Schizosaccharomyces pombe: one gene and its partner. The protein of the gene in region 2 interacts with the protein of the main gene of each other region in a biochemical or structural test. Each region holds a gene or a part of one and is shown on either strand. Other genes may lie near its edges.

Region 1 (4,619 bases), 540 kb from region 2:
ATTTTGGCAAAAATCCTTCATGGTGGCTTACTATGCTTTTTGTAATGGTTTGTGCTTTAACAATTGATATTGTTGCCCAAATGTTACGAAGGACTTTACGTCCTACGGACACCGACATATTTGTGGAAATGGAAAACGATGCCTTTGTCCGCTCTCGGTTTGAGCAAGAGAGCGGTGAGTTTTTACAAGCCAATGCACCATCTGTCGATGAAATTGAACAATATTTAAAAAGCCGAGATTAGGCATTTAATTCATTAATCCAATTCTAGTATATGAAACTTTCTTTAGACGATAGTCAGTTTACTGGTAAAATGTTAAAATTCTGGGGTTCCCACTGTTCAATTAGAAATTGTCTATTAGTTATGGGTCATGATCCGCATTTCATAATTATTGTTTACTATTTTGGTTGGTTTTCTTGGCGTTAACATCCTGTTGTACTTATTAATACATGTTTTTTACTCACTCTTTTTTATCTTTTCCCTAATAAAATCTATGCATTAATTTGGAATTCTTATGCAACGAATTTAATATTTACAGAAGTGCATGTAAGATTTTATCAGTAGGGACAACATTAAAAAAAAGTAATTGGTAATATTATTAGTTATGCTAAAATAATGTAAAAGAAGGTAAACATGAATTAACGATAAAAAAAATTCGATAACAATAGTTAGATGCTCAAAGGACAATGAACAAAGTAGCTATGGAGTTTCTTGCAGAAGTCTTACAATGCTCCTTTCATCGTTAAATAATTGAATTTTTTGTAAGTGTACCCAAGGAATGCCAGATTGGTTTGTTCCAACGTCTGAGGGTCAACAGAAGCAGGTTGTTGTGTGACAGGTTGTTCAGGAACTTGTTCAAGCTCATCAACAGGGAAATAATGTGTATCGGTAATAGATTTCAAATTCGGAATAAATGGAGCTGCAGTTTCTCGTATATGATCCCAATCGATTCCAGTAAAGAAAGGATGTTGCATTATTTCAATAGCACCGCCACGACCTAATCTGTGTTCTGAATCTGTCATAAGTCGGTCCATCAAATCACGAGCTTCTATGCTTAAATGTATATCATTTGGGAAAGTCAGAGTCTCACGCCAATTGATGATTTTTCGATAAGTTTCATGAGAGTTTTCACTGCAAAAGGGAGGCCATCCAATTAAGCACTCGAACATGATAGCGCCTAAACTCCACCAATCACAATCTTGACCATACCCTTGTTGCAAGAAAATTTCTGGAGCGATATAATCAGGAGTACCCACAGTGCTATAGGCCATCACCCTACGGTTCTTTTTCCAAGTAGCCATTTTGTCCTTGGAAGACATTGTAAGCCAGATAGCATCTACCATTTGACCACGTTTGACAGTATTTCCTGTGCGAGGTTTCATGTAAGAGGCACTCTGATCTTGCTTGTAAAAACCAGTGGAAAGTCCGAAATCAGAAAGTTTTATATGGCCATCCCGGTCAATCAGTATGTTATCCGGTTTTATATCCCGATGAATATAACCCATTCGATGAACATCAGCTATAGCCAAAACGCACTCAGCCATGTAGAAGCGAGTAACGTCTTCTGAAAAAGTATCATAATTTATTAGCATGGTCATCAAATCACCGCCTGGTAAAAACTCCATAATCAAGTAAAGATACAGTGAATCTTGAAAAGCATAATACAATGACACCACCCATGGGGAGTCAGATTCAACTAATAAGTCGCGTTCTGCTTTGACATGAGCCAGCTGGTCACGTTTGAACATTTCAGTTTTAAGCAAAGATTTCATGGCATAGATTTTACCCGTATCGAGTTTCTGAACCAACCGAACCTATTTAATTAGATACCAAAAACATAAACAATTATGCAAACGTACCTCGCCAAATGCACCTTTCCCAATAACTTTGATGGTAGAAAAATCTTCTAAAGAAAGCCGTGTACGACGAAATCGAAGAAATTGAGACTCTTTTTCACCAGATGCTCTTAACTGCCTATTCTTTCTCTCCTCAGAACCCCTTTCGGTTGCTAATCGTTGCTCCAAATTGATACGTCTAAAGAGAATTAGTATTTATACCTAAAAGTAAATTAAACGGAAGCTAGCATTATTAATTAACATTTTCGAAACAAGATGAGTAAGCTGTCTAAGATTTTATAAACATTCGAGATTATGCATTTACTGCAACACGCGAAGTTGAGAACGGAGAAAGAATTAATAAAAGCATCGTCTTTGATACTTATCCGATCAACGTATAAGATGGGAATACTAATTGAGGAATGTGAAACAATGCTAGAACCCTGAATAGTAATGCTACTCGTACCTTTGGTTGCGCTCTACAGCATGATCAACTGCCACCTTGTAATAATGTTCAATATATTTCTTTGTCTTTTGGACTTTGTCTAAAGTTGATTTCGGAAATAATGAAGGGTTCCGTTCAAAGTGTAAGTAATCATTCTTATCCATATTGAAAGAAATGTTGCAATAAATGGAATTTTTACACTAATTAGAATCAACTACAAGGTCAACGAATTAATTAACAAAAAGAAATTGTTAAAAGATTGAAATTCAATCGCTTAAAACATGAATTAACAAGACATGCAAAACAGAAATGAGACAGTGATAAATCGGATATGGTAAATGACAAGTCCTATTATGCTTTTTTAATTATAGGACTACTGCCAGCTAAGGTATAATCCGATAAAAATATGTTAAACTGCGATACTGGAAAAGCAAGTACTTCTGCAGTTTGTTATATAACTTCAACGATCGCTTGCGATAAGCTCCGCGCATTTCCTAACCCTCCCTGTTCAATATTACGACGCTACTAACTGAAGCCAAGAATCTTAGCTTACGAAGATTTTAGAATCTGAATTGAAATGAATAGTCAAAAAAGACGGACGGAGACATCAATTCGTTCTTCACCATAAAAATATTTGTGTAATAAAAACTAAAGGTGGTGGATCGAACTCTACAGGAATAGTTATCTATTTAATTTGGTGTTTACTCTTCATTTAATAACTTCACATTATTGAAACTCCCATTTAAATATTATAGACAAACAAGTAAACAAAAAAAGCCTAACCGATTTGTATCCAAAATGCAGCTAGCCAAAACGTTGACAATTTCACATAATTTTCAAATCTTTTTTGTGTTTATTTTTTCGAAACCTGAGAAATATTGTCTATATTAATAGGGGTATGTTTAAATGCGCGTTTGCCAGGTCCAACTCCATAACTACTTGCAACTTGACCATTTCCTCTAAGTTGGTACTTGTAAATAGTTAACCCATCAAGACCCATTGGTCCTCGAGCATGAATTTTGTTGGTGCTGATGCCAACTTCGGTACCGTAACCATAACGAAAACCATCGGCAAATCTGGTTGAAGCATTCCAATACACACCAGAAGCATCAATTCCAGCCATGAATCTGTTAGCAGCTGCTTCACTAGAAGTGATAATGCAATCCGTGTGTTTAGAACCATGTGTATTTATATGCTGCATTGCGGACTGTAAGGAAGGTACAGTCTTAATAGCAAGAATCAAATCAGAGAATTCAGTGTTGTAATCTTGATCGACAGATGGTTCAACTAGAGCACTAACTTTTGGCATATCCTTTAAAACCTTAAGAGAAGCGGGATCACATTTTAATGTAACTTTTGCTTCAGTTAAAGTTTCAGCAATTTTAGGAAGATGAGAAGATAAAACAGCTTCGTTAATTAACAAAGTTTCAATTGCATTACATGCTGCTGGATAATCAGTTTTTCCATCCAGAACAAGTTTACTAGCCAATTCCATATCAGCATCCTCATGGACGTACATGGAGCATAGTCCTGCAGCATGACCTAAAACAGGAATTTTTGTGTTATCTTTTATATGGCGTACAAGATTAGTGCTGCCGCGGGGAATAACCAAATCTATGTACTCATCCAATTTTAATAATTGTGATACCTCCTCGCGACTCTGAACAAGCTGCACAGCAGCCTGTGGAACCTTACTTTTGCCCAAGGCAGAGCGAACAACATTAGAAAGTGCAGCGAAAGACTTTGCTGATTCCGTGCCTCCTTTAAGTACAACAGCATTACCAGATTTGATAGCCAGGGAAGTAATATTAATGATTACTTCAGGTCTAGCTTCAAAAATGACTAGCAATAAACCTACAGGGCAAGAGACTTTATAAAGGTCCAAACCATCGTCAAGACTACGAGCATAAGTAACACGACCAAGGGGATCAGGCAAACTTTTAACATCTAAAACACCCTGTACCATGGAATCGTATTTATCAGATGAAGACAGATCCAATCTTTTAACCATCGATGAACTTAGTTTTCCTGATTCAGCCAAGAGCTTAGCTGCTTTCATATCTTCAGCATTTGCAGCTAGAACCTCTGACTTTTTTATGCGCAGTTCTTCAACTATTTTATCCAATGCATCATCACGGTCTTCCACTGATAATGTCTGTAAAATGTTAAAAGCGTTTTTCGCTTCCTTTACATTCTCTTCAAGAGACATGCTAAACAATACTTATACAACTTTGAGTAGAGGCAATTGGGAGATTTAAATCAAGCGAATTCTTATTCTTAGAATGGCTAGCTCAAAAAGACTACTTTTTGTAGTATTTTGGTTGTTTTTTCTAATGTATG
Region 2 (5,176 bases):
TCAAACTCAACGAACGTCTTCCACATCAAGTTTAAAGAAATCGGCTTCGAGTAGACGTTTGGTTTATGGTGATGACATGCTGGCACCCAAACCGTTAGCTGGTCAAGTACTTAGTAAATCACCACTTCCTCCTTTTTCACCTTCAAAAATTATGAACAGGAGTATATCTGTTCCTCCCACGAATATCTCTGTTCCTCAAATTAGCAGTAATCCTCTCAACTTGATGAAGAAAAGCAGTGACAATGATATCTTTACCACGTTTAACGATACAACAAACGATTGTATGAACGAAGCTTCTTGTGAAGATGTCAGGCACTCCCTATTGCAAATTATAGAAAGTAAATCAAATCTTAGTGATTCTGTTCATAAGATGTTGGGTGAACGAGTCAAAACGAATTTACTATTACAAGGTCAACTAGAAAACATGGAAGGCTTTTGGCTACAAAAATTATCGCAAACATGTCGCTTGGCGTTGACAGGAAACATTAGTGAGGCGAAGGCATTTATTGTAGAAATTATGTGTGCCGGTGTTGTAACTAATTGTGTGCGCTGGTGTCCAGTTTTGAAGACTCTAATTGAAAACCTTGCTATCTAGCTTTACATGTTGTTATATATTTTCTAAATCTTCCTGCTGCAAGTTATATGACACTAATGCTCTTTTTTTCTTAATTCTATCATTTTTAATGATGTTACTCATTTGCATTTTAACAAACCATTTATAAGCATGATTAGCTATGTCGGACGCTAACGAAGTTACAAGTTAAAGGATTTAATAACACTTCCTTTTTGAAATTAGAAGAAATCTTAATAGATATAATGGAAGTTTCCATTTTTTTTACAATATATATTTTTCTTATGGCCTGTCGATTAATAGTATTTTTAGTTTAATTTACTGAAACATTATATTTGTTTTTAGTGAACACCGTAGAATATTTAGGAATTTTGACTAGGTCTGTTTATCATACACACTTAGTATTAGATATCGTGATTTTTTGAATATATGAAAAAAAGTACTACAGACAGAAAATGCAGCGTATTAGCCTCAAGTAATTATTAAAAAAAATAAAAATTTTCTTTTAAAATTATACAGTGTTTACCAAAGTTATGTAAGACAATCAACTGCCGCTTCTCTCTCATTTCTGTTTATATACATCTTTAATGTTTATTACTTATTAAAAAAAAAAAAAAAAAAAAAAAAAAAACAAAGCAAATTACGTGCATTACCAAGAAAACAAAACCGCTCTAAATATTTAAGCTAATTAAAACAATGAAATAACAAATTTATTAACTTGTAACCGTAACAGTGGAATTTATTTTAACTGCTGTCATTTCTAGAATTTCATAAAGGGAGACATGAATAAATTTAACCTTATATTACAAATTGTAAATACGTAAATGTTTATCACAAAATCGAATACTCAAGTCATATTACTATGTACCTGTGCAAGCAACCATTTGTAAACCAAGTACAAAGGTAAACTGCCTCTGTCCGCGGTTGGCGCTCAAAAAGCTGAGCCAAGCCTATTTTTGGCAAACTATTTTTCGTGGGTGATTACGTTATGCATTGGTAATGAAGATAAGGAAGTGGAAGGTATTGAAAGTGGATTAAGAAGAAGTTGGCGCCAAATCTCCAAAACCTGTGCTTTACCAACAACGTTACCTAATAAAATTCATGTAAACAAAATTTCCAAAATTGTCATTCATTTTATTGTTCTCCAAATGTTTTCAATATGGAGACTTTAAAAGCAGATCTTTCGGATATGTCCGATTCCGTATGTCCTTATACTTGATTTGAATGTGTGTATATGTGTTAACAATGTTGATCAGCCTGAGTACTTTGAAACCTTGGCAAACAGGGATTTACCAAGATTGCCTGGAACAAGCAAGCTTCATCGAGCTGCATGTATTAAACGAAAATCTATCAATTTAAGCCTTCCTTCTAACAGTTATTCGCTTTCTTACCGACAATCAGACGACACTGATGGCGATGTTTCAGAATCACAGAGTGAATACAGGTTGAGTAGTGGAAGGAGGTCTCGAGCAAGCTTTGCTCGTGCTTTACAAGATCCCCAAACTCCAAACACTCCTCCCGTATCGTCTCAGCACCGAAGATTCTTTTCGGAGGGCTCCTTCAATTTGCCAAACTCCAACATGAGCCACTCATTAAATGGGGATTCTACAGCCTCTAATAGTTCTACTTTAACCCCTAATCGTATTTATGGGGACCGCAATCGTCAAGATTATGCTCAGTCTAGCCGATATACTTTGCCTTCGTTGCCTAGTTCCCCATCATATAACTGTCCTACAACACTTCGAAAAATACATACAAACACGAGTAGCAATGGAACTTCACGAAGAGTTAGCGGCCTAGGGTCTTTTATGGCACAGAATTCCTCTGAAACTAGCAGTAACAGGACTTCGGCGTATCTACCTGGTAGCTCTACGGATGAACAAGAAAAGCGTTCCAGTGTGACTTTGGCAAGTATGCCTTCCTCTCATTCGTCTACAGCGTCCCTCCTTTCACCTCTTGATACTACTTCTTTTTCTACTAAGTTGGACTCTACTATTTTGGCCTTGGAAACTGATGAGTCTCTCAGCCGAACAATTTCGTATGCCACTACTTCTTTACCGAGCACACCAGGTAAGCGTTTATCAAAGGAATCTCTTGCTATGTCTGAAGCCAGTTCTATCAATCCAGAATATAAGCGTATTAAAAAGCGTGCAAATTTGATTAAAGAGCTGGTTACTACTGAAGCTGCCTATTTAAACGATCTCATTGCGATTCAACAAAGTTATGGCTTGCGGGTCAAAGAATGCAGTGCATTGAATCCAGTTGACGCCCAAACAGTTTTTGGCGATATAGAGTCTTTATTAACTTTTACTGTGGAATTCCATAGTCGACTTTATCAAGCTGGTGAAGGCTCCTGGCGTGTAAACTTGGATACCCAGCTTATAGATCCTCTTCCTTGCAATTTAGGTCTTATTTTTTTAGAAAGCCTTTCTGAAATCGGTCAAATTTATACTGGTTATTGCAACCGTCAAGATTCGGTTTTCAAAATTATCACTAAATGGAGAGAGAAACCTGCAACTGCATCCTGGATTATGGAGGGTGATAAAATAGTTCAAAAATACACGAACGCCTGGGATTTGGGTAGTTTAATAATTAAACCTTTACAGCGCTTACTCAAGTACCCCCTATTATTGCAAAAAATCATTGATGTTACTCCTGAAAGTAGTTCTGAGCGCCCAGATTTGGTCCTTTCTTATCAACTATTACAGGAGTTAATATCTGGTATAAACCAGAAGCAGAAGCCTTCTCATAAGCGTGGGTCGTTAAGTGCTTCTCATAAACGAGACGCTGCTTGGAGTTTACTCTATAAAGCAACATCGAATAAATCTAGGCCCACCACTACATCTACTGAGTTAAAAACTGATGCTCGATTGAATTTTCAACGCCAAGTGCTTCAAGATTTTCGACAACGATTCGCTATATTAAAAGCCTTACATGCTACATTGGAAACGTGGTACGTTACTGTACATCGTGGATTTTCGGTTTTTGAAAAGGTTTTAGCAGAGCTTGAAGGGCTTAGTGCTTTAGAGCCCGAAGACAAGCCGGTAGATACGTGGCGTAAGTATCATTTACTTGCGCACATGATGACTGCTAACCTTCCTTCTCAAATACAAACGTCTTTAAATTCTTCTATCCTTAACCCAATCACAAATATCCTACGAGTGATTCAAAAAGTTATTCAGTTCATTATCAGCGCTGAATTTGTGATTCCTGCTCAAAAGCTTGAGGCAATTTCTACTCTTGTTGAGAAGGAATTTCACAGTGTTGTTTATCATTTTATTGGTATTCAACGCTCTCTCTATGAAAACTACGCTCAAGGTTTCTTGTTTCTTATCCCTCAAGACATGAGGGATAGCATCTTAGAAGAAACGCAAGATTATGCAGAGTTAGTTCGAGCCTTTGAACCCATGCATTATGATGACGAGGTATTGCTGGAGGAATTAATGAAAAGTGTCTCTTTAGCTGCGAGGGTTTAAGAGCAACTTCTTTAGTCGAATATTTTTTATCTGTTCTATATATATACACATTTAGATATACTGCATTCATGTTACTTGAATGATGAAAACGTTTCTCTGGACCATGGTTTTTTGCAGCTTCCATGTATTTAACATCACAATTACATTTATTTAACCTAATATCTGCGTTTGTCTGATTACAATTCGTTTAGGTTCTTTTAACGGTCTTTTTTTGTCTATCACAGAGGCCTGTTAAGTTTAGTTTCAAATTAGGATTCTAAACGCTTTTACGCCTTCCTTTTATGCATCTCATTATTTTTGTCTGCTCAAGTCGAGCTATTAATTATTGTCTTTTCACTTTTTTTTTTTAAACTAGGAACGTTTTGGCTTTTCTGCTGTTATGCCATTTTATTTGTTCATACGCTTCCACTTTTCATTTATATGCTTTAATAATGTATATAATATTTGACTTTCACTTTAACTATGTTTTATGTTTAAAATATGTAATTAGGTTTTGATTGAATTAATTTTGTTCGTCGTTATTTATCCTAGTTGACTAACAAAAACAGGTCAAATTCTTACATTCGTAGTAAAACCAAAACGTAAATAAAAATACTTACGATGAAACAGTCTGGAACCATCCGATAAAGTGCAATGATAAGTACGATAAATAACCTTTTAAAAGTCACACTGTTAATTACGGCAAATACAAATTTATTATACAAGAAACCAAAAAATTTATTTTTATAAAACTGTCTCAATAACCTTCATTATAGGTTAATGAGAACGACGAGAACGGACGGCAGCAGCCAACTGTTCAAAAACGGCGGTAGTGTCGTCCCAACCAATGCAAGCATCGGTGACACTGACTCCATATTTCATACTTGACAAATCATCCTCAGGTATAGCTTGCTTACCTTCGTTAAGGTGAGATTCGATCATGACACCAGTAATTGCTTTCTGACCGTTTGCCACCTGCTCAGCAATACAAGCAGCAACCTTGGGTTGATTCTTATGGTTTTTAGATGAGTTTCCATGAGAACAGTCGATCATGATACTAGGTAGCTTGTTGCATTCTTCGAGTTTAGCCTTGGCACCAGCCACTGAATCAGCATCGAAGTTAGTCCCACTTTTACCACCACGCAAAATA

What was found.
Region 1: of the proteins of gef1 (region 2) and orb6, one has a biochemical effect on the other in vitro, tested with the Schizosaccharomyces pombe proteins (one study listed by BioGRID).

The regions. Positions count from the first base shown.
Region 1 is NC_003424.3:1,006,263-1,010,881, reverse strand, and holds orb6 (serine/threonine protein kinase Orb6), read right to left. Parts: upstream 2,620-4,619; 5' UTR 2,444-2,619; coding exon 2,301-2,443; intron 2,034-2,300; coding exon 1,859-2,033; intron 1,814-1,858; coding exon 722-1,813; 3' UTR 564-721; downstream 1-563. Other genes in the region: dnf1 (P-type ATPase), read left to right, coding at 1-242; gamma-glutamyl phosphate reductase Pro1, read right to left, coding at 3,133-4,488. UniProt on the Schizosaccharomyces pombe protein: Interacts with pak1/shk1 and coordinates cell morphogenesis with the cell cycle. It is essential for maintenance of cell polarity and is involved in mitotic control.
Region 2 is NC_003424.3:469,454-474,629, reverse strand, and holds gef1 (RhoGEF for Cdc42 (Gef1)), read left to right. Parts: upstream 1-1,639; 5' UTR 1,640-1,730; coding exon 1,731-1,772; intron 1,773-1,827; coding exon 1,828-4,047; 3' UTR 4,048-4,649; downstream 4,650-5,176. Other genes in the region: SPOM_SPAC24H6.08 (uncharacterized protein), read left to right, coding at 1-595; SPOM_SPAC24H6.10C (phospho-2-dehydro-3-deoxyheptonate aldolase), read right to left, coding at 4,804-5,176. UniProt on the Schizosaccharomyces pombe protein: Has a role in the control of cell polarity and cytokinesis. Involved in bipolar growth, via modulation of cdc42-shk1-orb6 signaling, and septum formation. Stimulates guanine nucleotide exchange of cdc42.